Macaca mulatta: one gene and its partners. The protein of the gene in region 3 interacts with the protein of the main gene of each other region in a pairwise test. Links are inferred from orthologs where the notes say so. Each region holds a gene or a part of one and is shown on either strand. Other genes may lie near its edges.

Region 1 (3,772 bases), on a different chromosome or scaffold from region 3:
ATCAAGTTCCAACGTGCTAGGTGGGGAACTGGCACTAGTTGTATTTTTGCAAACTCCCAGGTGGTCTTTGAATGCTTTTAAGGATTTTATTTTACCCCATTCTTTTTGGATGTCTTCCTTGTCTATAAAACTTAATTGACTTATCTCATTAAAAAATACTTTGTTTTTGCTCCCAGACTTTTAAAGAATCCTTGGAAAATTTGTAGAGGAAAGAGTTCTTAGAAATCTGTCATTCTCTAATAGTCTGTAATTTGTTTATTCTGAGCAGATATGATCTATGTCTCTGGGGGCTTTGACGGAAGCAGGCGTCACACCAGTATGGAGCGGTATGATCCAAACATTGACCAGTGGAGCATGCTGGGAGATATGCAGACAGCTCGGGAAGGTGCCGGACTCGTAGTGGCCAGCGGAGTGATCTACTGTCTAGGTATCGAGTCTGGGATGCAGGAATGGGAGAGAACTCAATGGGTAGTGGACTGTGAGTAAGGATTCCTTTTTACTAGGATGAAGTTCATAGACTTCCCTTCAACTAAAACCCTGGTGTGTGTTAATATATTTTCCATTAATTGGGATTATCTTTTTCTTATAAGCAGAAAGTAGGGTACTGTCAGATTTCTCTTATGGAACTCTTGGGGGAAAATTGAAACTAAAATAGTTAGTTGAAGCACTCAGAGAAAGACCGACCAGAAATGGGCATGAGGATTTACCACTCTTTCTGGAATGATCTCTGTCTTCCAGGAGGATATGACGGCTTGAATATCTTAAATTCCGTTGAGAAATATGACCCTCATACAGGACATTGGACTAATGTTACACCAATGGCCACCAAGCGTTCTGGTAAGACTAGATCTGAGGGAAGGGACAATAGATGGTACTGTCAGACATTTGCATATATAATGGTGGTGCATGGGGCAAACTGTAGATTAATGTAAAAATGAGATTCTGCTCTCCTCCTTATCTCTGTTTTCTCTAAATATTAGTGAAGATAAAGACAGTTGATACTTAACAACTAGATTATACATTTGTAAGCAAAAGCCTTCATGTCTTTGTTCTCTCCCTACTTTTTAGAATATCTAGTACAATTTTGTCTGTGTAGTACATGTTAAATAAATGTTAAATAAAGTCTCTAATGCATAAGGACAAAAGAGTAGCTACTTACCTTCACCGAGAACTTTTTGAAGTGGAGCAGGCTGGGATGTAGAAAAGGAGAAAACACTGTGCCGTTCTGGTTTACTTATTCTGGGTAAAAATTGCTTCAGAGGCATAATCACAACTCCTTTCCCTCCATCAACCTTTATTGCTGCCTTTTTTTTCTCTTCCTCCCTTTCTCCTAATTAGAAGGGTTGGGCTCTGAGTTAATGAAAGTAAGGAGAACAATTGTTACTTACCTTTTATCATTTCAAGTCCGAGCCAAAGGGTTTATAGGTGGAATAACTTGTGCTGGACTAGATTATTCTAGGCCCGTATGGACCCAGTCCATATCTCTCATCTACTCTAGAACTCAGCTAGTCATTAGTGACGATAGTTTATTTCTGTAATTCAGATTCTAGGCTTAGTACCATTCGTTTGCTAATGCCTTCATTTTCCCCAGGTGCAGGAGTAGCCCTGCTGAATGACCATATTTATGTGGTGGGGGGATTTGATGGTACAGCCCACCTTTCTTCCGTTGAAGCATACAACATTCGCACTGATTCCTGGACAACTGTCACCAGTATGACCACTCCACGATGCTATGTAGGGGCCACAGTGCTTCGGGGGAGACTCTATGCAATTGCAGGGTGAGGATTTAGAAACTAATCCAGACTCAATATGTAGCCAGAGCCAAGAGTCTATGTGATCTGATCCTCATTTTTGGATGGAGACAAGACTTGGGTAGGGGTAGATATCTCCAGTGGCAACCTGATATTTTTTATTAGATTTTTTTTAGTTTTTAGAGACAGAGTCTTGCTCTGTCACCCAGGCTGGAGTCTGAGTAGAGTAGCTGGGACCACAGGTGCATGCCACTGTGCCAGACTAGTTTTTTATGTTGCCTAGGCTGGTCTCCAACTCCTGGGCTTAAGCAGTCCTCCCACCTCAGCCTCCTAAAGTGCTAGGATTACAGGCGAGAGTCACCATGCCTGGTCTCCAGTGGCAGCCTTAATGAAGGACTTGTGTGGAAAGGAATAGAAGGCGAATTTCTTTCTTTAAATTTTATTGAGACGGGGTCTCACCATGTTGCCTAGGCTGTTCTCAAATTCCCTCCTGGACTTAAGCAATCTTCTTACCTCAGCCTCCTGCATAGTTGGGATTACAGGCACGTGCCACTGCATGCAACTGACTGATTTCTTTCTTTTGCTTCTTTCCCACTCAGATATGATGGTAATTCCCTGCTAAGTAGCATTGAATGTTATGACCCTATCATCGACAGCTGGGAAGTCGTGACATCCATGGGAACCCAGCGCTGTGATGCTGGTGTGTGTGTTCTCCGTGAGAAGTGACCATTGTTGGAGCACCATCCAGAGCTATTCCAGTCCAGTGGACAGTTAGTGGGAGAATCAAGAATCCTTTCCAGAATGTCTGTTTCTCACTATGTGCACAGGTTGATTACAGGCACCAGTGCAGTGATGATTGTACTTATTTGACACATACTCCCCCTCGTCCTGGGTCTTGCTCCTGAGAAGGGTGGGTAACAGATACTCCAGAGAAAAGAATGCACATTGAATGGATGTGAGAGACCACATTGCCTCTCCCACTGCTTTGGGGAGCATTTTCCTGTCATTTCTAACTTACCACGTGCTTGGTGTACTATATGTATGTTGTGCCTCATATGTTGCAAGGTGAGTATAGCCTACTAGATGTGGGTAATATCCAGCCTAGATGATTGGAAAGATACCAATTTAAGTAAGCTTGGTAAAATCCAAGTCTTTTTTTTTTCTTTTTTTTCCAGGAACAACTACATTTTCTCATCTACAGGTAGCTAGGGGCAACACAGTTCCATTGTAGAGGGAAACCAAAGGGAGAGCCCCACAAAACTTTGGGGGCAAGGGAGAGAGAGACTCATCTGACACTTCTTTTGGAGGTCAGGGTTTGTATATCAGAATTGAAGTTAGAATAAGTGAATTAAACTCAATGTGATGGAATGTGAGTGAACCTAGAACAGCACTGAAGTATGACATAACCTGGAAGACTGAGAAGGGTATATTATTTGAAGGATCTTTTTATTTCCCCAAGGTCTTTCGCACTGGAGACAGCATAAAAGAGTGAACAAATGTTGGGATAAGAGAAGATGACATCAATGTGGGAGTTCACTATAACTGGGGATAAACTAGAAGTACCTGTGATTTTACAGTCGTCTTATTACCTGCCAGGGCTTATCTAGCCATGGCAATGTTTGCCTTGAATGGGGGTGAAAGCCTTTCTTTGTTGAATCAAATACTACTACACTATTACACTTCCACACTATTTATTTGGGGATGGGCTGGGAGTGACAGTAGCCTAGTAGTTCAGCTACCTGATTGCTGCCCCATTCTTTTAGAAGCACACTTCTGCCAAGGAGTGGTTTGTACTGCTGTGTTTGGTACATTTGGTCTTTTTTTCTGGTATAAGTTTTCTTTACCTGTCCTTTAGTGTAGATTTTATTCATCATAGGACAGAATAATCAAGGACAACCAAAATCCTTTTGTTAGTTTCAGTACCTCAGCTAGCAGCATTTCTGAGCTATCATTCAATGTTCCTCCGTGTCATGGAGTGAAATTCTTGTTTTATGGGTATTGGGAGTGTGGGAATGTGATAA
Region 2 (4,532 bases), on a different chromosome or scaffold from region 3:
ACGGGGTGGTCTACACTGGTATGGGTACTGCAGGCTGTCTACACTGGCATGGGGTCAGGGGTATTTAGGCTGGCATGGGGATTTTAGACTTCCTCTACTAGCATGAAGTTCAGGGATATCTAAGCTTGCATGGGTAACGTGGGGTTCAGGGGATTGCTAGACTGGCATGGGTTAAAGGGGGTGCCTACATGGCATGGGATCCAAGGCATGACCTCTCTGGCTTGAGTACCAGGGGATGTCTGCCTTGTCATGGGCCTATGTATCAGCATAAATATTATTGTTTACCTGTTTGAGGGTATCTACATTAGCAATGGAGTCTCTTACTGACCCAAGGAGCTTGTCCTCATTGGTTTGTGGCAGGGGTACGTGTGTAGTGTTCTAGCAACCAGAACACTTACTTTTGTTCCCCTCTTCTGTTTCCATATCCTACCCCCTCCTGCTTGTTTTTGCCCTCTACCATCTCCTCACCCCTTTGCCAGGTGTCCTCTTTGCCCGCCGCCAGCCTGTGCCAGCTTCCCAGGGTCCAACCAACCCTGCACCCCCACCCTCTACAGGGCCCCCTTCCAGCACCTTCCCCTAAGAGGTCCTACTTGAAACTAAGAGTCCCAGCCCCATTGCTGAGTGGGGAGGAGTCCCTCTGCTTTGATTCTTTCCGGCTGCCCACTCTGGGACCCAGCCCTGGGAGGGGACCATACCTCCCATGCCATGTAGACTTAAAACCAAAGTTTCTTTTGATGTTACACCTACCTCACTGTAAAGGGAGGGCACCTCCTCCCCGGCCAATTCCAGCAGCATCTACTAAAGTGTTCTTCCTCCAGTAACCACTATCATCTCCTCATGTGTCCCCTCTGTCAATGTCATCTCTAGAACCCTACCCCTTTGAGTCAGCCTTGCTTCTCTTCAGGAGCCAAGTGAAAGGTTGGGTTGGGGTACTGTGAAAGAGACATCCCTCAGGTCACATCTAGACAATAAAGCTGCGATCCCTCCCTCTCTGATGCCTCCTTTCTTGTTTGGGTATGGGAGGTGGGGAGGAATGATGTGGAACATGGGCTGCCTTGGGCCAGGGCCTTTCAGAGGGGAAGGCAGAATAGCAAAGTTCCGTGAGAATAGAAGAGCTCCGTCTCTTGAATCAGACAACCTGAGTTCAAGCCCCATTTCTGTCCCTATAGTGCTGGGTGACCTTGGGCAAGTTACTTAATCAACTGAACTTTAGAAGACTCCAAAAGTTTATGGTAACTCACGGAGCCTTCTAATGATGTATCTATGGGAATGGACCTACCCTGGAACACGTGCAAACTCAGGGAATGGCGTGGGGAAAGCTCTTTGGCACCCGAAAAGCAAAGGTTGTCTTGACAACCAGGCGCTGGAAGCCGGGGAGGGCTGGTACAGAGCCGTTGCCAAGGTAATCAGCTTTTCACAGCTCCAAGCAGTAAATTCGGGTACTGAAGGGCTGAATCATGACGTCACTTCCTGCATAAAGGTCTGCTCGTGCACTCGGATTGGCTAGCCTTCCTATTTGGACGGACGTCCCACCCTCTGGCCGTTTCCCGGCTGAAGTGGGTCGTTAGTGGAGATGGCGGGTCTGACTGACGTGCAGCGGCTGCAGGCCCGAGTGGAAGAGCTGGAACGCTGGGTGTACGGGCCGGGCGGGGCGCGCGGCTCGCGGAAGGTGAGTAGTCTGGTCCGGTGGTCCCTTTCTGGAACAGAGCAAGAGCGGTCCACTGTCCCGGCCCTCGGGATGCAACCGCTCCTGTCCTGTTCTCCGCAGCCCGGCCTTTGAAATAACAAAGGTCTGGAACCTCCCAGAGCTGATTGGACCCTCGGGGTCCATTGTCATAGGGGGCACGGCGGGTGGTTAAGCCAGCCTGAGAGTGGGCTCAGTACCTACTGTGGCTGAGACTCCACCCTTGCCCTCGCGGGCTGTAGTTGGGGAGACCTGACACACTCGAGAAGCTGACTAATGAGAGTTTCAATAAAAGCTGAAGTCCACGATAGGAAGTCCCGTCATGGAGCCCTGCGTAATTAATTGCTAAATGAATTGTGCAGGAAGAGGTCCATGGGACCCATGAGGAGGCAGAGCAGAGGTGGATAAGGAAAGCTCTGAAGGGTGAGAGGTGAGGTCTGAAAGGACCAGGATTAGGAAGGGAAGAGATTGGGTACTGGGTGTTCAGATGTGGACTAGCACTGCTTTATACCAGTGACAGAATTTTGACAACTACGAAGCTCAGGTGCTCTCTCCTCACCTTTCTACTACGGGAAGACCTTTTACTGAAGAACTTCTAATTGCGTGTCAGGCATGTCCTGGAGCTAAGTGCGTCCAAGGTAATGATGTCTGTTTGTACACTAAATGAGGAATTAGTTGTCACTCGCAGACTGTGCTCCCATTTCAGAACTAACTTCTCAAACATTCTCTTCCTTTGGAATCAATGACACTGACCCTCCTGGTTTTCCTTCTACCTCTTAACTACTGCTTCTCAGTGTTATTTGCCTCCTCCCTGGCATTCCTCATCCTCTACTCTAAAAACTGGGTGAGTGCAGTCACTTCCTTAGTCTCCTCCTCTATTTGACCCTTTAATATTGGGATTCTTTACATTCTACCCCTAAACGTTAGGTAGGCTTACTTGCTTCCATGGTGTCAATTACTATTTACATGTCAATATGTCTCAAATGTATATCTCTGGTCCAGATTTCTGTTCTGAGAACCAGACTTTCATGTCCAGTTGTCTACTGGATTTTTCCACTTGGTTATCCAATAGTCATCTCAAACTCAATCTGTATGCTCTTAACTGTACTCTTTTTCTCCCCTAACCTGATTCTCTTCTGTATTCTCTAAGTCAGTGATTGTACCATCATTGGGATCCCAGTTGTTTGGACTCTTCCATCCCTCACACTAAATTTGATGTGGAGGGGATAGGGCTAGAAGTAGGCCAGCCAATCTAGAGGTCATGAAGGCTTGAATGAGGATGCTTGCATTTCTCATGCCCAAACCCAGGGCTTAGGAACCAGAAAATATATTGTGTATACTATATATTCCATAGACTCTAAAATAGTTCATTATCTTCCCCATCAGACTTGAAACTCCCCAAGGAGTACATGATTCTCTGTCTCCACTTTGAGGATACCTGGAAGGTGGGGCTGCATCTCTTTTAATGTTAGAGAAGGGAGGCCAACCTAGATTACTGGGATTCAGGTTTGACAGTCTAGGAGAATGAGGGTTATTTAGCTCTTCCAAGCCTTGAGCCAGGTAGTATATCTTGGAATTAACCACCACTTCCCTTACAGGTGGCTGACGGCCTGGTCAAGGTGCAGGTGGCTTTGGGGAACATTGCCAGCAAGAGGGAGAGGGTGAAGATTCTCTACAAAAAGAGTAAGTGCTTCCATGATGTGCCTGCCTGCCTGACATCCCATCCCTAGGCTTCCTGGGACCTGGCCCTAGCCTTTCAGTTCATTAAGTCACTGGAATAGCCCTTTGGGGATAGAAAGATTATGAGGACATTTACCTGCACCCAATTCGATTGGTAAATTGGGGTGTGCTTTTCTACCTTGTGGCTAAACTTCAAGCCCATGACAGTGTCCTTAGTTATGAGGTAAGAGCTCTACCTGAAAGCTTCTCTTGGTGAAGGAGGGTAGAAAGGGTATGGGATTTCCCAGGCAAAGTTAAGAGGCAGGAAACAAATTAGACACTGAGAGCCTGGTTATGTCAGAGCTAGTAACCTGCTTAGTAACTAGAAATTAGACAAAGCTCTGGCTTGTCTTGTTGACATCTAGGAGAAAAGAGGCCTTCTACCCTTGATAAGGATAGGTCAGTGAGAATGCTGAGGGCCCAGAGTGGTGGTGGCAATTGTGTTTTCAGCTCTGAAGCTTGATGTCAGAAGAGACCTCAAGAGAAGAGAGTGGAGAGATAGGGAAGTGGGGATAAGGAGCCTGGTGGAGCCCTGCTCAAGCAGCACTGTTGGGTATCAGCTCCTCATTGAAGGCTCTCCTCAAGGCTGACCACTTGTCAAACATCCTTCATAAGGCAGTGTTCTACTGCCCAACCCTATTCCATTTCCCATCTCGCTACTTTTCTAGTTGAAGATCTGATCAAGTACCTGGATCCGGAGTACATCGACCGCATTGCCATACCTGATGCTTCTAAGCTGCAATTCATCTTAGCAGGTAATGCTGGACTACATGTGTACATGCATCTGAGGATATGGGTCATTGGGGAGGTCATGGGGAGGCACAGAGATGGCCTCCCCATCCAGTCTTCTGATGGATACAACCCCTGGATGCTGCTCTCTGGAATTGTGGCCTGGTTCTGGGTTGAGGATCCAGTGGATCCTCTAGTAGACATTGAGTACAGTATACCTCTGGGCCAGCTGCAGGCCATGGTGCCAGCCATAGTGGGAGCTAGTCCAATGTTCTATCAATAGCCTGCCTCTTGGATTTTCCTTCAGAACCTTCCTCACTTCTGCTTACTAGACAGAGGAGCTTCTAGGAAAGGATAGGGGCAGAGAGCATTGCCATTAAAGAAAAGAGAGAGTACTGGC
Region 3 (4,400 bases):
TTCCTCTCTGAGTCTCTCTTGATTTTGTAGTTGGGAGGAAGCTAAGTGCTATTCAAATACCAAATGTTCCATATGGTAGTGTTATTACCATTCCCACTACCATTACGTGAGGCCCTCTACCTACACTCACGAGGTGCCTCATCAGAATCTGGCAGAACATTATGAACTCTTTTCCTGACCTGTATTTGCGAACACATTTGTTGTCCTCTCTCCCTCTATGAACTTATTAATTTTGTTGAAATAATATACATGTGTGTATAAATCCAAGTTTTGTTTTCTTATTCATCCTCATAGTCACTTACAGGGGAATGATTTATGACACATTAAGGAGGTATTCTTAAGCTAACATGTCTTAATTAGGAATTCAGATATTCCTCTTCTGCTGAGAAATACAGAGCTGTTCAAATTAGACCAGAAATTAGGGCCAAAACGAATGCAGCCTCTACATACATAAGCTCATTGCAGGGTAACCAGTGAAAGGCAGAGGCTGAAGACACACAAGTCATTCTGCGTTTGTCTCCTTCATGCTAAATGATTCTTTGACTGCTTTTCCTTTCACTTTTCAGCGTTATGATGGAGCCAAAGGGTCAAGAGATTCACAACCCTACAGCCCTCCCCTTCGTTCATCTGTAGCATAAAGCATGCATTTCCTAAGAGCTGGGTGTGGGGGTCTCTTCATCTACCTTCTCTTTCATTTATTTAGTGAAATGAAGCTTATTTAGTAATGACGGAAAGAGATGAGCCAACTAGGGCAGCTCACATATGGTGCCAGACGGTGAGGGACTCTCTCTGTGCCCAAGGCACTTGCTGTACCACAGGAGCTAGGCAGCCCCGGGTGGGAAGGAAGCTCTGCTCTTAACCAACGGCTGCTCCAAGGGTTCCCCCAGCCAGGTGATCCAGACAGCTATGGTTTCAAAGCTCTGTGAAAAATGAGTCTCTGACTTGAAGACTTCAATCAGGCAGCCTCTCCAGGACTGGGATTACTCCACTAATACAAATTAAAGCCATTCAGAAGTATGCTAAACCCTTTTTTAGATACTAGAGGAGGATGAAAAGAGGGAGGAAAAAGAAGCAAAGTAATTTTGCAAGATTAGGATTATACTGTGGTTTATGCCAATACCTTACATTTGTTTACTTCTATATTAAAATGATTAAATACTCCTGAAATAGGAGCTTTAACGATTTTAAACATTTCATATATATTATTTGCAGCAACACCCAAGGGAGAAGGGTACTATTATTATCTGAATTTTACATGCAAAGTGACTTGTCCAATGTCACACTTCAAAAAAACAGCAGAGTTGGAATTTGAGCCCAGGCAGCCTGAAGCTTGCAGTCTTATCTACTGTGAGCTACAGCTTTTCTATCATATGGCACTAACATAGTTATATTTAATCATGCTCCCGATATTGGACATATATATATATACACACACACACACACACATACATACACACATACATATATAGGCACATACATATTTTTAAACTAATGAGCAGTATAACTTCAGATACATGTCTAATAAAGATTTTTTATTAAATACCTTTTCACTCTTTTTAAGAAATGAAACATTATGCTTTCCACTGAAAAATGATTGCTATCTAGTGATTTCATAGTTGTCTAAAAATACTTGGCCAGAAAGGAAGAACTTAAAATTCCCTAGGACCCTTCCACTACTTCTGGATTTAATATTATTTCTGAAATGTCGAAATCTGGTAAGTTTCAAAGATGCTACTGTCTAATGGAGGAAGGTTCTACAAAACAGTACAATTTACTTACAAATGACCCCCCCACCCCAAAACCCAAAATACATGGAAACACCATTTTGCATAATCAGTCAGCAAAAACTCCTTTTGTTTTCCAAATTCCCAGCATTGGAAAATTGTATTAAGTAGACACTCTCATAAACTGCCTCTGGAAATACAAACTGGTATGACTTTACTGGAAAGTAATTTGGGAACAAGTTACCAAAAGCCATAAAACTTGAAAACTCTTACATTTACCAGTGTGCTGCTAAGAAATTAGCCTAAGGAAATAATTTGCAATGGGAACTAACACAGAGCTATAAGAATATTTTTGGCACCATTAAGGCAATAAAATGGCTGGGCATGGTGGCTCACACCTGTAATCCCAGCACTTTGGGAGGCTGAAGTGGGAGGACTGCTTGAGGTCACGAATTTGAGACCAGCCTGGGCAACATGGCAAAGCCCCTTCACTATAAAAAAAAAAATACAAAAGTTAGCCAGGTGTGGTGGCATGCACCTGTAATCCCAGCTATTAATACTTGGGAGGCTGAGGTGGGAGGGTGACTTGAGCCCTGGAGGCAGAGGTTGCAGAAAGCCAAAATCATGCCACTGCACTCCAGCCTGGGTGACAGAGTGAGACCCTATCTCAAGAAAATAAAAAGGCAAAAAATTAGAAACGACTAACTGTCCAGTTAGAAGGGATATAAATTAAATAAATTTTAGAATATTTACTCAATGGTATACTATACAATCATTAATAATTATACTGTAGAAAAATATCTGTTGCTATGAAAGATGTTCAGAATTACATTGTTAGGAGGAACAAGACTCTTAATAATCTCTACTACTTCTACAATCTCTACTACCATTTGATGTTCGTCTCTCCAGGTGAATTTATAAACACTGCCTTCAGAATTATCAGCAACGCCTCGTCATCTATCCTAACCAGTGACCTCAAAATAAGTAGAAGTTACTTCCTTTCCCACAAAAAAGCAAGGGTTTCATTTTTATAAAAGAGACAGTAGGGAGAAATGGAGTCTACGTGAATAGATACATATTTATGTTCTGTGTGTATGTTTGTGTAACCAGATATGTAACCAGATATGTATCTTGGGGACTATCTTGGGGACTTTACAACTCAGTGATAATTATTTTCCTTTAAAGATTTTGGAGACGTTTACCTGTACCATGTGCTTTCATCACAATGGAGAAGCATAAGCTATCAGTTCCTTGCGGCGGATCTCTTCACGAAGATTTTGCTTGAGTAGAAAGGGTGGCAGTGGAGAATCTCAATGTAAAATGCCTAGACCTGTAATTATAAAAACAATATTCCCACTGAGTTAGGCAGCTTCTGTGGTCTTCATTCACATTTGCTGATGTCACAGAAACGGGAAACATCATATTGCATAATCTCTCTCATACACACATGCACACACACAAGCGTGCACACACACACACACACACACACACAAGATTTTTAAATCACAATGTCAAAAACTCAGCAGGCAGAGACACAGCAGGTTCCTATCCCCAGAGATGAGTGGGTTCTGGCCAGGGGTTGCTTCCCACCCCATCTCCTCACCTTAGGGACACCACTATCAAAATAATCCTGTTCCTGCCCCTCCCTCTCTGCTTAATGATTCTAAGATTTCTAAGAAATAAAAAGCAGTCAGTTCTTCACAGAAAATGTCAGAAACAATGCTGAATTTGATGCTCTCTTTCTCTAAGACTCCTTCTAGCCACACAATTATGCAAATTCAGTGCATGTATTTACCATTCTGGCCTGACTTTCACTTTTGAAACTACACATGCCTCTTTGTTAATAACTCAGTTAAGACATGGTATCAGCGATGGCCAAGGTCATCACGAACATTGATTAAACATTTACTATGTTCTGGGCCCTGGACTGAGGGTTTTACACACATTGCCCCACTCCATTGCAGTCTGTGAGGTAGCCAGGAATCATGATTACCTCTGCATTATTGACAAGAAAACTGAGAGTAAATACAGCCAACAGATGTTAAAGCCAGCACTTAAGCCAACCATTTACAGAGGTCATGCTTAGGATTCTAGTACTATACCATCGCTTCAAAGCTGATATTGCTATCAACACTTCTGTAGTTAGTATTAAAACATGTCGGGGCGGGGCGTGGTGGCTGACGCCTGTAATCCCAGCACTTTGGGAGGCTGAGGTGGGTGGATCACGAGGTCAGGAGATCGAGACCATCCTGGCCAACATGGTGAAATCCCATCTCTACTAAAAATACAAAACTTAGCCAGGCATGGAGGTGCACACCTGTAATCCCAGCTACTGGGGAGGCTGAGGCAGGAGAATCACTAGAACCGGGAGGCAGAGTTTGCAGTGAGCTGAGATCACACCACTGCACTCCAGCCTGGTGACAGAACAAAACTCTGTCTTAAAAAAAAAAAAAAAAGCATCACATCAATATCACCTCATTTTCCCCAGAGGGTTATGTCACCTAAGTCTTAAAATTACTATTATTTGTTTTGGATTTGACTGTACTTTGATTTTAATTCCCAAGCTCAACTAAAACCAACATGTTCATATTTCAATTGAGTGTAAGTTGATGGTTATTTTCGTAAATTAAAAATGCTAAGTAATCCCAAATCCAGATGCCAAAACACTAAGCAGAA
Region 4 (4,553 bases), on a different chromosome or scaffold from region 3:
CCCATTGGGTAACCCCGCCCCTGGGGAAAAGGGGTGGAAAGCGGAAGTGACGACACCCGGCGCTCCATTAAATAGCCGTAGACGGAACCTCGGCTTTCTCTCGGCCTTAGCGCCATTTTTCTGGGTGAGTGTGTTTGCTTCCTGTGATCGGATTCCGCGTACAATCCGTAGACATCTGACCTCGACACTTACCATCATCACACCAAACTAACTGTAGCCTTTCTCTCCTTCCCTGTAGAAACCTCTGCGCCATGAGAGCCAAGGTGAGCGGTTCCTGGTAGTAAGCTTGGGAGGTAGGAGTTGGCGAGTAGTAGGGGGAGACTAAGGCAAGTCCGCCATACCTCCTGAACTACTGGGTTTCAAGGGTACCAAGAGCTGGTGGGAGAGGAAAAGTAGTTTGTAAGAGAGCTAGCGGTTAAGTGCTATGGGTAGAGAGGGTGGGAATTAGAAAAGGGTGGAATTCTGATTTTATGTTGCGAGGGTGTCCAAGTTACTGATGTAGTTGCTACGACCAATCTCATACTTGGTTAAGAATCTGCCCGGTTCTAAAGAGTGCATTTCATATCCCTCCTAAGCCTACTAATAAGCTTTATCTCTCTTTTTTTTTTAAAAATTATCTGCTGCTTGTGAACGGTTGCTAGTGGAGGAAGAAGCGAATGCGCAGGTATGTTGGAGACTTTGCCAGCCCAGGAGGAGGGAAGTTCCTTGGACAAAACTTAGCAGAAACATTTGGTTTGGAAATCTTAAAAGATCTTCAGGAGAAAAATGTTTGAGTATTTTCTTCCTAGAGCAAAGGATAGAACAGAGGACGATAGAACCGTAGTGCTTGTTCATTTTACCACCTCATGTTATGTGCACGTTTGATTTAATGTAGGAGGGAAAGAACTCTGGTTTGAGAATAGGTGTATTCCATTCCTGTGTCTGCTTTTCAGGCTGAAGCGCAAAAGAAGAAAGATGAGGCAGAGGTCCAAGTAAACCGCTAGCTTGTTGCATCGTGGAGGCCACAGGAGCAGAAACATGGAATGCCAGGCGCTGGGGATGCTGGTACAAGTTGTGGGACTGCATGCTACTGTCTAGAGCTTGTCTCAATGGATCTAGAACTTCATCGCCCTCTGATCGCCGATCACTTCTGAGACCCACCTTGCTCATAAACAAAACTGCCCATGTTGGTCCTCTGCCCTGGACTTGTGACATTCTGGACTATTTCTGTGTTTATTTGTGGCCGAGTGTAACAACCCTAAAATAAATCACCTCTTCCGCTCTTTTAGCTGAAGAATTAAATCGTCTTGTCTATTATGTTTTTTATGGTTCCATCGGGTGGGGGTTTTCTATCATTACAGTTTGCCCTGTCACTGCCTGTGCTATGGAGGATATCAAAGGCAACAGCCCGGGTTATGTGGTGTGGTTTGCATGGAGCTGGATGGGATATGATGTATCTTTGGAGGCAGGTTTTAGATTTCGCGGGTTATTTGGGGCCAATGCTGGTACCGCCCCTACCTTCCAGGAGGCCTCCCTTGACGACTACTGCTTAGTAGACTACATCGCGCCTTTGGGTTAGGTTGCCATGGTGACACGCAAAGCGTGGTGGGAACTTCCTGCGGCATGTCGCACGCCTACTTTGTACACCATAGAGTATGGTTCCGGGTCTGGTGGCTAGAGCGTCACTTCTTCCGCAGGAAGCGGAAGAGCGATCGGGTGGGCGGCTCTTTGTCGAAGCTAGAGGACCGGCAGGCGGCAGCAGCAACTACGGCGGCGGCGGCAGGTGAGGGAGGCGGGAGACTTAGGTGGAGGCCGCGCCCGGAGGGGAGGAGTCGGGGCCGGCCCAGCGACTGGGCTCGGCTGGGCCACACAAGGCCCCCCAGAACCGAGCTGGCTCGTCCTCACACCCCAGCGCAGTGCCCCTTTTCTGACTGACCCCGCATCGCGAGCAAACGCCAGCTTCGTGACGTCACAACCCTGCCCATCCCCTCAGCTTGATGACACCTGGAGCCCCAGCTCCCCGCTTCACTTCGCGCGCCCTTAGTGTCCCTTTCACGTAGCCCATGGCTGAGCGCCAGCGGCACTGCACGGAACCTGCCAAGCTAGAAGACTTGCTGCGGGAAAACTCCTAGGACTTTTTTCGCAAACTCTAGGGTGTTGGGAAGCGTCACAATCACTGCCTCCAAGTCTAATCGGCCATCCCACTGCACTGTCAGGCGCTGCCCTTTTAAGGTTCCTCACTAGCCATTACTCCAATCCTTAGCCGGGCTCTGACCCTCACATCCTCTTTCATCTTGATGCAGGGCGTCCCGCACCCTTTGTTCACTCAGAGCTGGTTTTCCAACCCATGCTCCCAGTCCTTCCGAATTAGTTTTATCTCTTACTCTTCTTACTGGCCACTTCTCCCTTGGACAGGTGAAGTTCAGTTTGAACCCTGAGAAAATCCTGACGTTCCCTAAGCTTTGCCGTTTTGTCAGATTTCTTTCTTGTGACAACCACCCCATAGTCCTCCACTCTTACCCCTCCTTCCACCCAAGTCTCTGTTTTTTTCCTGCTCAGAACCCAGCAGTGATGTGGAGGTGGAGACCCACAGGAGCCCCGGACTTCACCTGAGCTACCTCAGGTATCAATTCTGGGAGAGTTGGGTGGGGAGGAGCATCATATCTAATTATCTGCTGCTGGTGCGACTTGCAACGTGAGCCAGGTTTGGATAGATGGCATTTGTACTTCACCTGGTCATTCCCTTTTACTAAAAGTTTGTATCTTTTACCACTTCTTTCCTTGATTGCTTCTATTATTCTGGGACCAACTCCCTTTAGAGGAGGAGGACCCTCTTACAGATTCTCATGTAACTGTGGTCTCTGGTTTGGTTCGTTCATTTTAGGGAGACCTAAAGGCAAAGTCACAGCAGTGGGATGGGGTAGGTCAAGGCCAAAGTAATCAGGAAAGATTCCCTTATGCTCAAAGGGAACAATGTGAAGTTTTCCTATTTCAGCGGCAGAGGGAGCCTGAACACCGCATAGGAAAGGCTTGGGAGGTCAGACACGTGGTAGCAGGGACTCCAGGTCTTACTAGGGGTGGAGAGAGGGGAGGGCTAGAACCAGGGCAGTGGACTGACATTCCAAAGCTCTCTTGGGAAATAGGAGACTTAAAAAGCTTTTATGGAGTCTATAAATAAAGAGGATCTTTATGGGTTGAGGAATGGTGTGGCTGGATGTCAGTGGGATCTTCACAGAGGGGAGTAGGAAGGGGGTGGAGAATGGGGAAAGGTCACTTGTTCCTGTGAAATTAACTCCTTCCCACCTTGATCTTATCACAAATGGTTTGTCCTGGAAATCTAGAAGTGGAGATTCTAACTTAGAACTCATACCCTGAAATAGAGGGGGCTGACCTCTCTGCCGCTGACAGTGATGGTGGGTAGGAGGGAATACTAAAATATGACAAGTTTTGAGACTCCCCTCAAGCTGGTGACACCAGTCTCTTCACCCAGGATTTCTTGGCTTCTAGAGATTTTATACGTACAGAGCCCTCACCTGAGGAAAAGGAAAAGGGGTTAAGGAAGTTTTGTTACCATCTTCTACAACCCTAGTAGCTCAGTAGTAGCCCATCTTGGGCACTATTCCCAGTTTCCTCCCAGACTGTTCACATACTGACTGCAGTTTTAATTTCACTTCCACAACTTTAATAAGGTCAGCTCAGAAGGAAAGATGAAATCCAACACTTATTTTTTCCCTGCTCCCTCCTGGGCCTATCGTCATTAGTGAAATTAGGTGGCTTCACCCCAACTCCTTCCCTCCTCTGTTAGCCAGGCAAGTGTGAATCATTCTGACCCAGACCAGGTGCACAAAAGCCTGGGCGGGACTTTTGATGAGTCAGACATTTCAGCCAGAATTCTTATCCCTTAGATTCTCCATCTCTAAAGCCATTGCCCCTCTGGGCCACCTGCTCTATAGTCAAGAAGAGTGGGATCTCCCTGGAGGACTCCTGTTTGATACAGTTCTCCTCTTTTGTAGTGGTCACCAAGAGTGGCAAGATAAAGAAAACCCCGAGTTGGGCGGGACCAGGATGCCTGACCGGGACAGCTATGCCAACGGTACCGGGAGCAGCGGTGGAGGCCCTGGAGGTGGTGGCAGCGAGGAGGCCAGTGGGGCAGGGACAGGCAGTGGCGGGGCCACCTCAGATGCCATCTGTAGAGACTTCTTGAGGAATGTGTGCAAGCGAGGCAAGCGTTGCCGATATCGCCACCCAGACATGAGTGAGGTGTCCAACTTGGGGGTGAGCAAAAACGAGTTCATCTTCTGCCATGACTTCCAGAACAAGGAGTGTAGCCGCCCAAATTGCCGTTTCATCCATGGCTCCAAGGAGGATGAGGATGGCTATAAGAAGACAGGAGAGCTTCCCCCACGGCTGAGGCAGAAAGTAGCAGCTGGCCTTGGCCTTTCACCGGCAGACCTACCAAATGGCAAGGAGGAGGTCCCTATCTGCCGTGACTTTCTCAAGGGTGACTGTCAGAGAGGAGCCAAGTGCAAGTTCCGTCACCTGCAGCGGGATTTTGAGTTTGATGCTCGGGGTGG
Region 5 (3,692 bases), on a different chromosome or scaffold from region 3:
TGGAGGCCAAACGCAAGGGCCCTCCTGGAGTCCCTAGCCCTACTTCGAAGCCAGGGAAGGGGACACCAAGTGAGAGAAACTGGGCACCCCCGCCCCCGCTCCCGCACCCGGCGCGCCCACCTCGTCCCCGCGCGTCTGCACCGGCCAGGCGTCCCGCTTGCCCACCCGCCGCCGCGCCCCGCGCCCCGCGCCCCCTGCCCCAGGGCCTCTGCATTCGGCCCCACCCCAGAGGGCCGGCCAGGAACGCCCCTGGACCGAAATAATTTCCAGGAGGCAAGAGCTTTCGAACCAAGTAAAATAGAACTTGAATGTAGTGGCTGCTGTTGCCTCCTTGTGCGGGTAGCGGGGTTGGGGACGGAGGCGTTCGGGCGGTGGAGAGGGGAGAGAGGGAGGCGTTCGGGCGGTGGAGACGGGAGAGAGGGAGGCGTTCGGGCGGTGGAGAGGGGAGAGAGGGAGGCGTTCGGGCGGTGGAGGGAGGAGGGGGAGGCCTTCGGGCCATGGAGAGGGGAGGGGGAGGCCTTCGGGCGATGGAGAGGGGAGGGGGAGGCCTTCGGGCGATGGAGGCTGAGAGGAGGAGGACTTCGGGCGATGGAGAGGGGAGAGGGGGAGGCCTTCGGGCGGTGGAGGGGGGAGGGGGAGGCCTTTGGGCGATGGAGGCTGGGAGGAGGAGGCCTTCGGGCGGTGGAGAGGGGAGGGGGAGGCCTTCGGGCGGTGGAGAGGGGAGGGGGAGGCCTTCGGGCTTTGGAGGGGGAGGGGGAGGCCTTCGGGCGGTGGGGGCTGGAGGGAGGAGGCCTTCGGGCAATGGAGAGGGGAGAGGGGGAGGACTTCGGGCGGTGGAGGGGGGAGGGGGAGGCCTTCGGGCGATAGAGAGGGGAGAGGGGGAGGCCTTCGGGCGATGGAGGCTGCGGGGAGGAGGCCTTCGGGCAATGGAGAGGGGAGAGGGGGAGGCCTTCGGGCGGTGGAGGGGGGAGGGGGAGGCCTTCGGGCGGTGGAAGGGGGGAGGGGGAGGCCTTCAGACGGTGGAAGGGGGAGGGGGAGGCCTTCGGACGGTGGAGGGGGGAGGAGGAGGCCTTCGGGCGGTGGGGGCCACGGGGAGGGTGGTCTTCGGACTACGTGCGGGACGGGAGATCAGGGCTGGGACGTCCCTCAGGCCTCCCTCCTTGCCCCAGCTTCGCGGGCCGCCTAACTGCCCAGCTCCAAGGGTGCCACCGGACCCCGCTGGAGAGGAACTTTTCCGTTGGCTGGATTTAATCACCCCCCATTCCCGGTTCCACGTTTCCTTTAAGTGGGGCTAGTGGGGCTGACAGGGCCGCAAGGCGGCAAGGAACTGGATTGCGATTGGTTAGCGCGTGCCTCGGTCGGCGGTACAATTGGCTGAGGCGCTGGGTCTTGGGCAGCATTCCCCGACGGGATTGGTCGCCGCTTTCCCAGAGCCCGCCTTCCGCAGTACAAGCGGTCCCCGGGTCGGGTGGGAGGAGGGGCCTCCGGGACGAAGAACATGGCGGCGGCGGACCTCGCTCACATTCCTGATGTGGACATCGACTCCGACGGTGTCTTCAAGTATGTGCTGATCCGAGTCCACTCGGCTCCGCGCTCCGGCGCTCCGGCTGCGGAGAGCAAGGAGATCGTGCGCGGCTACAAGTGGGCCGAGTACCATGGTGAGGGCGGGGCCTGCCGGCGTGCGAGGGGCGGGGCTGGCGAGGCGGGGGCGGGGCTTGGCGGGCCGGGGTGGGTGCTGCGGGCCACCGACTGCGTTCTGCTCCCAGCCCTGCCCCTGCTAGGTTTGAGCCAGGCTCAGGTCCTGGGCGGGAAAGGCGTGACCCAGCCTGACACCCCCCGCCTCACGACAGTCTCCCAGTCCCCGAGCTCGCCCCGGTTCCACCCTCCTCTCATTCATCCCTGTCCCAGCCTCAAGGGGCTTCGTCTCCTCTGGGGAAGAGGCTGTTCAGAGCTGGGATTTTAGACCTCTTCGGCCGGGAGTTCCTCCCGCGGCCTCCAAGGGCGGCCAGGGCACGTCCTGAGGTCGCCCTCCCATCCCAGCGGACATCTACGACAAAGTGTCGGGCGACATGCAGAAGCAGGGCTGTGACTGTGAGTGTCTGGGCGGCGGGCGCATCTCCCACCAGAGCCAGGACAAGAAGATTCACGTGTACGGCTACTCCATGGTGAGCCGCAGCCCCGTCCCGCCCTGCTGGAGGCCCCGGTTCCAGCTTCGAGGCCCACCTGAGTCTGCTGCCCTGACCCGTGGCCCCAGATGAGCACGCAGGCTTCCCGGGGTTCTCCCAGGGTGGGCGGCAGAGCCCTCCTTCCAGGGCCAGTTGTGTTCCTGCATTCCCCCATGGAGCACATGCCAGACCTGAGGGGCGGGAGGGAGACCCCCAGACATGGCCTGCCGTTCCCTCTCCCTGCCCCCGGAGGCCTTGCTGGGCTCTAGCTGTCCTCCAGCACTTTGCGCCCTGGGCCCCCAGAGGCAGTCAGTACCTGGGTGGAGTTCAGAGTCCCCGCCCGTGCTCTTCACAAAAACCACCAGCAGATGAGAGCCACGTGCGTCCCTCTGGGTGCCTCAAGCCCCAGGATCCACCCTCAAGGTTTGCTTGCCTGTGGAGGTCGCCTCTCCCCAGGGGAGCCCCCAAGGGCAGTCGGGATGGTGGGTTTGGCACCCCCAGGCACTCTCTCCCTTTCCCACACTCGCTTCTGGTGTGGCTGGTGGCTGGATGCCCAGAGCCAGGGCATGGGGTCGAAGGGTCCAGGTGGTGCCAGCAGGCGTCTTCTCTCTCCAGGCCTATGGTCCTGCCCAGCACGCCATTTCAACTGAGAAAATCAAAGCCAAGTACCCCGACTACGAGGTTACCTGGGCTAACGATGGCTACTGAGCACTCCCAGCCTGGGGCCTGCTACCTCCAGCAGCCATGTCAGAGCCCCCGCCTTTGCCTGCACCCCTTTCGGGGCTGGCCCTGCCTGCTTCTGCGGCAGCCCCTGGTGACCTGCCGTCTGCCAGGCTTTGCAGACAGGCTAGCTTGACCACAGAATTAAACGTGTTGCCACGCCTCCCAGTCTCTGAACTCTGTCCTTGGCTTCCGCACCGTGCGTCACCACCTCCAGGGCCCCCCAGACCCTAACTAAAGCAGGTGGGTGGGGGAGCACAGGAGTGGCCCCAGGGAGTGGCCATGCACACTCAGCCCTTTGGGGTCTGATAAGGGGGCCCTGGTGATGGCCTGATTGCTCTTCCCACGGTCACTGTCCTCCAGGGCATCTTGGAGTCAGGGCCTGATCCCTCGGGCTGGCCAAGACCTGGGGCACCCACCAGTGCTCCCTCCTGTGAACCCATCCAAGGGCTCCCCAGTGTCCTGTCTGCCGTCTGCCCTGAGGCTTGGCCTGCAGGCTCCTTCCATGACTAGCCCCATGGGGCCTGCCAGTATCCAGGGTCAGGTCCCACAGCTGCACCTACCCTGCAGGTTCACGTTAACTCTGGGGGCCCCTCCCAGGTCCCTCCTGCACCCGGCAGGGCTGTGGGCACAGCATGGGTTCAGGCCTTGCCCTGGGAAGCCCCAGACACAGTGGCACTCCGTGGGGTGGTGCAGGGGCACCCTGGGGGCCAGGGCTGGTTGTACACAGAGCATCCCCACCTTTTGTCAGCTCACTGGTCCTCCGGCCAGCCTCTCCAGACAGGCACTGTCGTGACCACATTTTAC
Region 6 (3,772 bases), on a different chromosome or scaffold from region 3:
TCAGCAAAGGCTTCCTGAGCTCCTGTCCTGTTGCATGCATGATTAAGTACTGCAGATGTGAAGGTGAATTGACATATTTGGGTTCTTAGAGTTTGCCTTCTAGCAGACCACAAACAAGTAAATACAATGTTGCACGTGGTGCATGCAGGCCTTTGGTGCCCAGGACAGTGGTGGCATGGAGGAGGGAGTGTTATCTGTGTCTGAGAGCACTGGGGAAGCCTCTAGGGGAGGCTGTGCCTGAGGTGCATTTTGGAATGAGTTCACAGGTATGGTGAGAATAAAGCCGTCCACATGTACTTGGGAGTTGGGGGAAGAGTGGGGACACATGACTCTCACAAGAAGCATGGCTCTGAGAAAATCGGAGACCATACAGAAGCTGACAGGGAATGTGATGTGGACAAAGGGGCCGCCAGGCCCGGAGGCAGGTCTGGTAACCCGAGGAGCAATGGGTTGACATTAGGGTCAGGACAGAGAGGGCTGCATGAGGAGCAAAGACCATGAAGTCCATGATCCTCCAACACATCGGCCCTAATGCTGCAGCCTCCCTGTGCCCTCAACACTCAGCCAGGGCCAGAGGGAGCTTGAGCATGGAGCAGGGGCTGAGGGCACGTGGCTTCCTCATGATGGAGTCTACTTGTTGACAGATGACCCAGAAACTTCTGGAGGACCCCTAAGGCCCTAACGCAGTCCCCAGAGCAGGCTCTTTCCATTCACCTCCAGACTGTCCATTTCATGCTGGTTAGTCCCCAGGAACCACTTCTGACAGGGGAATCCTACATTTCTCTCTGCTGAGCTATAGGGGCCGCTGCCCTTGGGCATTTTCAGCAGAGACCCCTGTCCCCACTCTGCCTCAGGCAGGTGGGCCCTGGAGGACGGTGCCATCCATGCTCCTTGTCTCCTCAGAGGTGGTGTGGTCAGCACACCCATCCCACAGACCACGGAGGAGGCCTGAGCGTCAGGGTCCTGTCTGATGCCAGCTCATGATGCACTGTGCCTGAGTGATGGATGCCCATCTCACTGCCTGTCACTTCCTCTCTCTGCAGGGCCCTGTGGCCGAGTGTGTCCAGCCCAGTGTCACAGGGAGCTTCCACATCTCATGGCTCCTTGCTGGGCCAAGCCCTCCAGAACCCCAAACCCGCAAAGACTGATGGCTGCCAGAGTGGCCACCTTGCTTATCCTGTGGCCCCGGCCCTGGTGATCACCATGGCAGCTGGGAAGGGAGTCCCGTTGAGCCCATCGGCTGAAAACAGATGGCGACTTAGCGAACCTGAGCTGGGCCGGGGCTGCAAGCCAGTGCTGCTGGAGAAGACAAACCGCCTGGGCCCCGAGGCTGCTGTGGGCAGGGCAGGCCGGGATGTGGGCAGTGTGGAGCTGGCACTGTTGGCAGCCCCAGGCAAGCCCCTGCCTGGCAAGCCACTGCCCCTGAAGGCGCGTGGGGAGCAGAGTCAGAGCGCCTTCACGGAGCTGCCGAGGATGAAGGACTGGCAGGTGGATCCTCAGGCCCGGGAGAGGGAGCACGATGACCCCACAGGCCAGCCTGGCGTCCTGCAGCTGACCCAGGACGTCCCCAGAGGCCCAGCCGGCAGCAAAGTCTTCTCTGTGTGGCCCAGCAGAGCACGAGGTGAGCAGAGAAGCGCCTTTAGCAAACCAACCAAGCGACCAGCAGAGAGGCCTGGGCCAACCTCAGTCTTCCCTGCAGGGGAATGTGCAGACACCCTGGGGGAGCTGTCTGGACTCCTCAACACCGCAGACCTCGCTTGTTGGGGTCGACTTTCAACTCCCAAGCTTTTGGTTGGTGATTTCTGGAACTCGCAAGCATTGCCACAGAATGCTCCACTCTGCAGCACTTTCCTGGGTGCCCCCACACTGTGGCTGGAGCACACCCAGGCCCAGGTGCCCCCACCCTCGTCATCCTCCACCACTTCCTGGGCCCTCCTGCCACCCACCCTCACCTCCCTGGGCTTGTCTACCCAGAACTGGTGTGCAAAGTGCAACCTGTCCTTCCGCCTGACGTCCGACCTGGTCTTCCACATGCGGTCCCACCACAAAAAGGAGCATGCAGGGCCTGATACACATTCTCAGAAGCAGAGAGAAGAGACCCTCGCCTGCCCTGTGTGCCAGGAGCACTTCCGGGAGCGCCACCACCTCTCCCGGCACATGACTTCTCACAGCTAGCAGGTGGGCGCAGAGTGACCTGCTGGGTGCGGCAGCCAGCCTTTGGCAGAAGGGGCCTCCCTGGGCCTGCCTTGAGGGGGATGTCATGGTCCTTTGCAGAGCTGCCACCTTTGACATTCATAGATAAACAGCTCAGGCATAATTTGAAAAAGCCACACCTACATGATGTGTTTTGAGGGAAATGAAGTCCTGAAATAAAGTGATGGGCTTTGCAAATCCAGGGTAAAGGCCCTAACAAGCACAGAAGCGGGGGCGACTCCTGGCACACATCATGGGCTTTGGAGGCACCCAAGCCTGGATTCAAATCTGGGCTCTTTCACATACCAGCTGTGACCCCGGACAAAGAGCTTTAACCTGCTGAGTCCCCATTGTCTCGTCTGTGAAGTGGAGATGATAACACTGTGTGTCAGGCTGGCATTCAGGTCACATGAAAGGCGTGCGGAAAGTGGCCAGCATTCTGCCTGCAGACCCTGAGCACTGAGTCAACGAGGTTTGTGATGATGTCTGTACTAGTCAGCTATTGTCATTAACAAGATCTCCATGGCATACAAGCTAAAGCATCTGTCTCAGTCATGAGTCTGTGGGTTGGCTCAGGTTAAGCTGAGCTTGGCTGGGCTTGGCAGCAAGTCTCAGATTTGATCAAGTCATGTTCGTTTTCTTCTTCGGCTGGTGGGCTACCCAGAGCGGGCATGCTTCTTTTGCGGTTATGCCAAGAACACAAGAGGGTGAGTCTAACAAGCACACTTGAAGCCTCTGCTTGGTTTGCATTGCCAACGTCCTCTCAGCCCATACAAGTGGCAGAACCAGGCCCAATACTGAGGAGTGGAAAAGCGTAGGCTGCCCTTGATGAAGCTGTGACACGGGAGTGAGCATCCATCCCCTCCACAGGAGGGTGAAGAATTGGAATAGGTAATTCCAGCCAACACCTGGTCCATAGTTCTTTACATTGTGAGTATATGAGTAGAGGGAAATAGAACCCCCTCCCCACCACCTACACACATGCCCTTTTACCTTCCAAGAATAGGACATGTGCAAAAACTAGGCTTCCAGATTGTGAAGCTGGGGAGCATTCTAGGTACCATTTATTATCTACTGCATTTCGGTCAGTAGCTATTGTAGGTACCCGCATCGGCCCTTGTTCCTAAGGATGTGTGGAGCCCAGGCTGTACTCTTTGACATTGCACAGGTCAGTCTCCGTGAAAGCCCTTTGTGGGGAGTTTCCAAGCCAGTGTCGTTTTTGCACTGGTTTCCACCTCACTGTCAGATACTGTTCTTTGGATGTGCAGTTTCCAGCCCCCCAGCACAGAGCTCAGGCTTGTGGCTGGGAATAAGCCAGGGTGAGCAGGTGGGGATCTCAGCCAGCCTCCCAGACTGCACCTCTTCTCTTGCCCTCCTCTGTCCACCCTTCCAGGCAGCAGCACTCCCACCTGGCTGCTCTGATGTCCTCGCTGCCTCCATTCCTGCCTCTCGCCATGCACCCATCCATTGCGCACATGCACACAACCAGATCATCTTCTGAACGTGTAACTCAGATGATGCCTCCAACCCTGTGGCTGCCCTTCACACTTACAGGCCTAAGGACCCAGCAGGCCCCAGC
Region 7 (3,772 bases), on a different chromosome or scaffold from region 3:
AACTGAATGGCAGAGGGGCTGCTGTGATTAGCTGAGAGAGATTGTGGGCCTTCGGCCCTGATGATAGATCCCTGGCCCTGCCACATACCATACACAGTGCCCACACCCCCCCCACCACCACCACACCCAATGCAGTCTGTGCCCTCAGGACATTGCTCCAGGGCAGTAGCATGGTGAGGTTAGCCAGATAATGGCCTTGAGCTAAAGAGTGTGCGCCTAAAATGCACTTGTTTGAGTAGTTTCTGCCTGTGCCTTCAAGTTGTGTTTTTGGGAAAACCTAGTGACTGTTCAGAGTAAAAGCAAACTAATTTGATTTTAATATCATATGTAGAGCTGTATTATATGAACCAAATGCTAGTCTGTTAAGCAATAGCTACACTTATTTTTTCAAGACAATGGATGATTTAAATGGAGTCACCTATAGAAATTGGTAGTGGCGTGAGTTATGCATTGTAACCATCAAGAAAGTTCAGTTGATGAAGTGTAGAGGAGCGATGCAGGTTGTCACACATCGGTGTGTACATGCTCCTTTTTCTTTCACTTTAGTTTCCACGGGCTCCCTTGCTCAGCAGTATGCGCACCCTAACGCTACCCTGCACCCACATACTCCACACCCTCAGCCTTCAGCTACCCCCACTGGACAGCAGCAAAGCCAACATGGTGGAAGTCATCCTGCACCCAGCCCTGTTCAGGTAAGGGCAACTCAGAGGTCTGCATGGAGTGGCTTCCTCATCCTAGTATCTGAGTGCTTTCTTCAGGTGCCAGGTATTGCATCGTCAGAACACATGGCATGTCCACTCTCATGAAGATGGATACAGCTGTGCCCCTGGGGTGGTTGCTTTTTTTAAGAATCACATTTAAGATACATATTGATAATAGGTGATAGGATAAGCTCTGGAAACTTGCGTTAATGAAAAATCAAATTTAGCATAAGGTTCATAAGGCAAATTCCTATTTGCTTGGGACTTTTAAATTTTAATTAAGGTTTATGTGATGAGGTTATTTTCCTATGAGCTTCTTGAATTATGTTTGCTAATGGAGGTAAAGACTTTGATATTTGTCAGTTCCCTGGGGCAGTAGTCTTGTTTAACTTTAGTATGCTCAGAAGCTTCTAACTGCCAGGCCGAGAATCAGGCTTCTGCACCCCAGAAAGGAATGTCCAGATGGGAGGCACCTCCAGCCTTGCTCTTACCATCCTGTACATTCCCCTGTACTTTCCGTTGCCCCTCATCATAGGCCCACGTGTGCAAAGCTCAGCTTTGTGAGTATCCCTTGGCTGCTTTTCATTAAAGAAGTTTTCCTCTCAATTCTTTCCTGTCGCTTTGCAGCACCATCAGCACCAGGCCGCCCAGGCTCTCCATCTGGCCAGTCCACAGCAGCAGTCAGCCATTTACCACGCGGGGCTTGCACCAACTCCACCCTCCATGACACCTGCCTCCAACACGCAGTCGCCACAGAATAGTTTCCCAGCAGCACAACAGACCGTCTTTACGATCCATCCTTCTCACGTTCAGCCGGCGTATACCAACCCACCCCACATGGCCCACGTACCTCAGGTAAACCAGCTTTAGCCAACTTTCTGTGAAGGCCAGGTAGAATGTGAAGGTTATCAGTAAGCAGCGAGAGGCTCTCCCAGCTAGGAAACCCTGTGTGTCATGCCATTTGCCTGTCTCCCTTTCCCGCTCAAATACACGTGATCTGGCCCTAAGGGAATGTTTGTGTGGTTTTGTCATGGGATCAGTGAAGGTGCTGATTGGTCAGTCCTTTAGTTTTCCAACTGAGACCTTAAAAATATCTTTGACTCTGGAATGCAACCCAGTCCTTCTTTCCTTTCTGTGTCTGCTTTGCTACGTCTATATAGCCTCACTACTCTATATATGTGTATATATATATCCCCCTCTACACACTTACCTCGGAAGCCAGGCGGGGATGATGGCCTTCACAGAGTCTCAGCTCTCCGAGGTGACTACTGGGGCCTGTCAACTTGATTGTTACTCACATGAGTTCCAGACACATCTCTCCAATTGTTTTCCCTGGTTATTCATATATCTGCTTTGACCATAAGTTGTACTCTTGAGAGGGCTTGGCCTTGGACATTGGTGCAGTGTAACTAGAAGCTGGAAGCACCCAGGTGGTCCCATTTTTCTTGAAGAGCAGCCCTGGAAGCACTTGGGAGCTCACCTCCAGTGTCAGCTGCTCCAGGTGAAAGGTGTGCTTGCCATCTCCGTGGTTGCTGTTTGCATCAGCTGCTGACAAGGTCCCTGCACTCCAGGGCCCAGGGGATTGTCTTAATGAGGAGAAGGAGCTGCACTGAAGTTGGGCTCTAACGCTGGCCTTGAGGCCCTCCCTGGGGCTGTTACGGGTGAATTGGCTGTATTAGATGTCTCTGCTACTTCATAACAGAACTCTCTGAGGCGGGTCTAAGTGAGACCTGCCACAATGAATTCCATTTCCTGTTAAATAGTGCGCCAGTGAGGCTCTGGCAAGGTGTGGGCTAGAGATGCGACTCAGTTGGATCTATCTCTCAGAAGGCTACCTTGTAAGTAGAGTTCCACAGCTCTGGGAAGTTTGGGCGTCCTCACCCTGCAAAGTTTAGGTTCTGTGGTGTAGCGCACTGCAGTTGATTTGCTTTTTGATAGTGGGGAGGGAAGCCGGTTTGGTCCGTGGCGGCCAGCGTGGTTTGGTGGAGTCAGCTTCATAAGAGCTGGGGTCCTGTAGGTGTCTAGCAGAGGCTGGTGGCTAAGTAGGCATGTGAACTTACATGTAAGTCAGGGATCCCTAATACCTCACTGTGTTTTTGTGCTGAAAGGGCAAAAAGGTTAACACAGGGAAGCTCAAATATGCCATGTACCCATTTGAATACGTGAGAGTAAAAACAGCATTTCATCCAAGGCTCATCATAATCTAGAATAGTGCACAGTGTGGGAAAAAGGAAACAAGGGCTCTTCCTGGCCCTGCCAACCCCCTGCAGAGCTGGAATCCAGCTAGTTTGGGCTGACTAAAATCACCTTTCCAATTTGACAGTGAGTGAGACCAGGTTGAACTTGGTACAGAGACACTGGGCTGGCCCAGATCTTCCAGGTTACTCCTTTCCATCTCACTGGAGCCATTAAAAACTCCAACTCCTCCTGCTCCATCAGCATATCTCTCAGAGAGTCACGGGGGCCTAAGAGTCTCTTTTCACTGCCTGGTGAGCAGGCCAGAAGCAGAGGGAGAGAGGCAAATGAACAGAGGTCCAAGTAATTCACATACTGGACTGTGACAGTCTCTGCTTATTAATGTAGTAATCTGCTTTCCTGTTTGAAAGGGATGTTATCTGCAAAATTGCCTCAGGCCCCACATGGCAGCCTGATTCTGAAGCATCATTGAATCTTGTATGATATTAAGTTGAGAAAGCTACCCTTGGATCCGGTGTCTAATCTTTGTGAAGATCTTACCCCATATGTAGAATACAATGATCAGAAATGTCAAGGGCTAGGACAGCACAGCCCTGACTTCTACCTAGGCTCACTTGGTGCCTGCTCCCTGACCCTTCCTTGCAGGATCTACCCAAAGGTGAAGCACATCTTCAGGTCAACAGATAATCTACTAGAGACTGTCCCCAGAGAACAGAACTGGGCCCTGAGGCCCACCATTGCCCTTTCCTGAGAGTCCCAGCCCAGTGAAAGGAACACAGTTGACATGTTGTTGAAGCCGGAGATGTTGCCTGTATGCGTAAAAGAGCTCTCTGTTTCAGGCTCATGTACAGTCAGGAATGGTTCCTTCTCATCCA

Evidence for each region.
Region 1: the proteins of ATXN1 (region 3) and KLHL12 interact in binary tests that used the Homo sapiens proteins (3 or more experiments, as listed by UniProt). The link is inferred for Macaca mulatta from reciprocal best matches to the Homo sapiens genes ATXN1 and KLHL12.
Region 2: the proteins of ATXN1 (region 3) and DCTN3 interact in binary tests that used the Homo sapiens proteins (3 or more experiments, as listed by UniProt). The link is inferred for Macaca mulatta from reciprocal best matches to the Homo sapiens genes ATXN1 and DCTN3.
Region 4: the proteins of ATXN1 (region 3) and ZC3H10 interact in binary tests that used the Homo sapiens proteins (3 or more experiments, as listed by UniProt). The link is inferred for Macaca mulatta from reciprocal best matches to the Homo sapiens genes ATXN1 and ZC3H10.
Region 5: the proteins of ATXN1 (region 3) and PHPT1 interact in binary tests that used the Homo sapiens proteins (3 or more experiments, as listed by UniProt). The link is inferred for Macaca mulatta from reciprocal best matches to the Homo sapiens genes ATXN1 and PHPT1.
Region 6: the proteins of ATXN1 (region 3) and ZNF488 interact in binary tests that used the Homo sapiens proteins (3 or more experiments, as listed by UniProt). The link is inferred for Macaca mulatta from reciprocal best matches to the Homo sapiens genes ATXN1 and ZNF488.
Region 7: the proteins of ATXN1 (region 3) and ATXN2 interact in binary tests that used the Homo sapiens proteins (3 or more experiments, as listed by UniProt). The link is inferred for Macaca mulatta from reciprocal best matches to the Homo sapiens genes ATXN1 and ATXN2.

The regions. Positions count from the first base shown.
Region 1 is NC_133406.1:60,555,888-60,559,659, reverse strand, and holds part of KLHL12 (kelch-like protein 12), read left to right. Parts: intron 1-268; coding exon 269-427; intron 428-738; coding exon 739-837; intron 838-1,591; coding exon 1,592-1,778; intron 1,779-2,350; coding exon 2,351-2,477; 3' UTR 2,478-3,772. UniProt on the Homo sapiens protein: Substrate-specific adapter of a BCR (BTB-CUL3-RBX1) E3 ubiquitin ligase complex that acts as a negative regulator of Wnt signaling pathway and ER-Golgi transport.
Region 2 is NC_133420.1:65,076,681-65,081,212, forward strand, and holds the start of DCTN3 (dynactin subunit 3), read left to right. Parts: upstream 1-1,547; 5' UTR 1,548-1,573; coding exon 1,574-1,669; intron 1,670-3,282; coding exon 3,283-3,367; intron 3,368-4,071; coding exon 4,072-4,158; intron 4,159-4,532. Other genes in the region: ARID3C (AT-rich interactive domain-containing protein 3C), read left to right, coding at 1-18, 480-580. UniProt on the Homo sapiens protein: Part of the dynactin complex that activates the molecular motor dynein for ultra-processive transport along microtubules. Together with dynein may be involved in spindle assembly and cytokinesis.
Region 3 is NC_133409.1:166,497,888-166,502,287, reverse strand, and holds the start of ATXN1 (ataxin-1), read right to left. Parts: upstream 3,055-4,400; 5' UTR 2,927-3,054; intron 1-2,926. UniProt on the Homo sapiens protein: Chromatin-binding factor that repress Notch signaling in the absence of Notch intracellular domain by acting as a CBF1 corepressor. Binds to the HEY promoter and might assist, along with NCOR2, RBPJ-mediated repression. Binds RNA in vitro.
Region 4 is NC_133416.1:63,267,152-63,271,704, forward strand, and holds the start of ZC3H10 (zinc finger CCCH domain-containing protein 10), read left to right. Parts: upstream 1-1,709; 5' UTR 1,710-1,762; intron 1,763-2,538; 5' UTR 2,539-2,602; intron 2,603-3,638; exon of another isoform or gene 3,639-3,992; 5' UTR 3,993-4,044; coding exon 4,045-4,553. UniProt on the Homo sapiens protein: Specific regulator of miRNA biogenesis. Binds, via the C3H1-type zinc finger domains, to the binding motif 5'-GCAGCGC-3' on microRNA pri-MIR143 and negatively regulates the processing to mature microRNA.
Region 5 is NC_133420.1:5,617,202-5,620,893, reverse strand, and holds PHPT1 (14 kDa phosphohistidine phosphatase), read left to right. Parts: upstream 1-1,476; 5' UTR 1,477-1,498; coding exon 1,499-1,658; intron 1,659-2,040; coding exon 2,041-2,165; intron 2,166-2,468; exon of another isoform or gene 2,469-2,530; coding exon 2,531-2,588; intron 2,589-2,780; coding exon 2,781-2,815; coding exon of another isoform or gene 2,816-2,873; 3' UTR 2,874-3,048; downstream 3,049-3,692. UniProt on the Homo sapiens protein: Exhibits phosphohistidine phosphatase activity.
Region 6 is NC_133414.1:61,498,534-61,502,305, reverse strand, and holds part of ZNF488 (zinc finger protein 488), read left to right. Parts: intron 1-1,043; 5' UTR 1,044-1,203; coding exon 1,204-2,175; 3' UTR 2,176-3,772. UniProt on the Homo sapiens protein: Transcriptional repressor. Plays a role in oligodendrocyte differentiation, together with OLIG2. Mediates Notch signaling-activated formation of oligodendrocyte precursors.
Region 7 is NC_133416.1:118,649,902-118,653,673, reverse strand, and holds part of ATXN2 (ataxin-2), read left to right. Parts: intron 1-546; coding exon 547-692; intron 693-1,328; coding exon 1,329-1,556; intron 1,557-3,736; coding exon 3,737-3,772. UniProt on the Homo sapiens protein: Involved in EGFR trafficking, acting as negative regulator of endocytic EGFR internalization at the plasma membrane.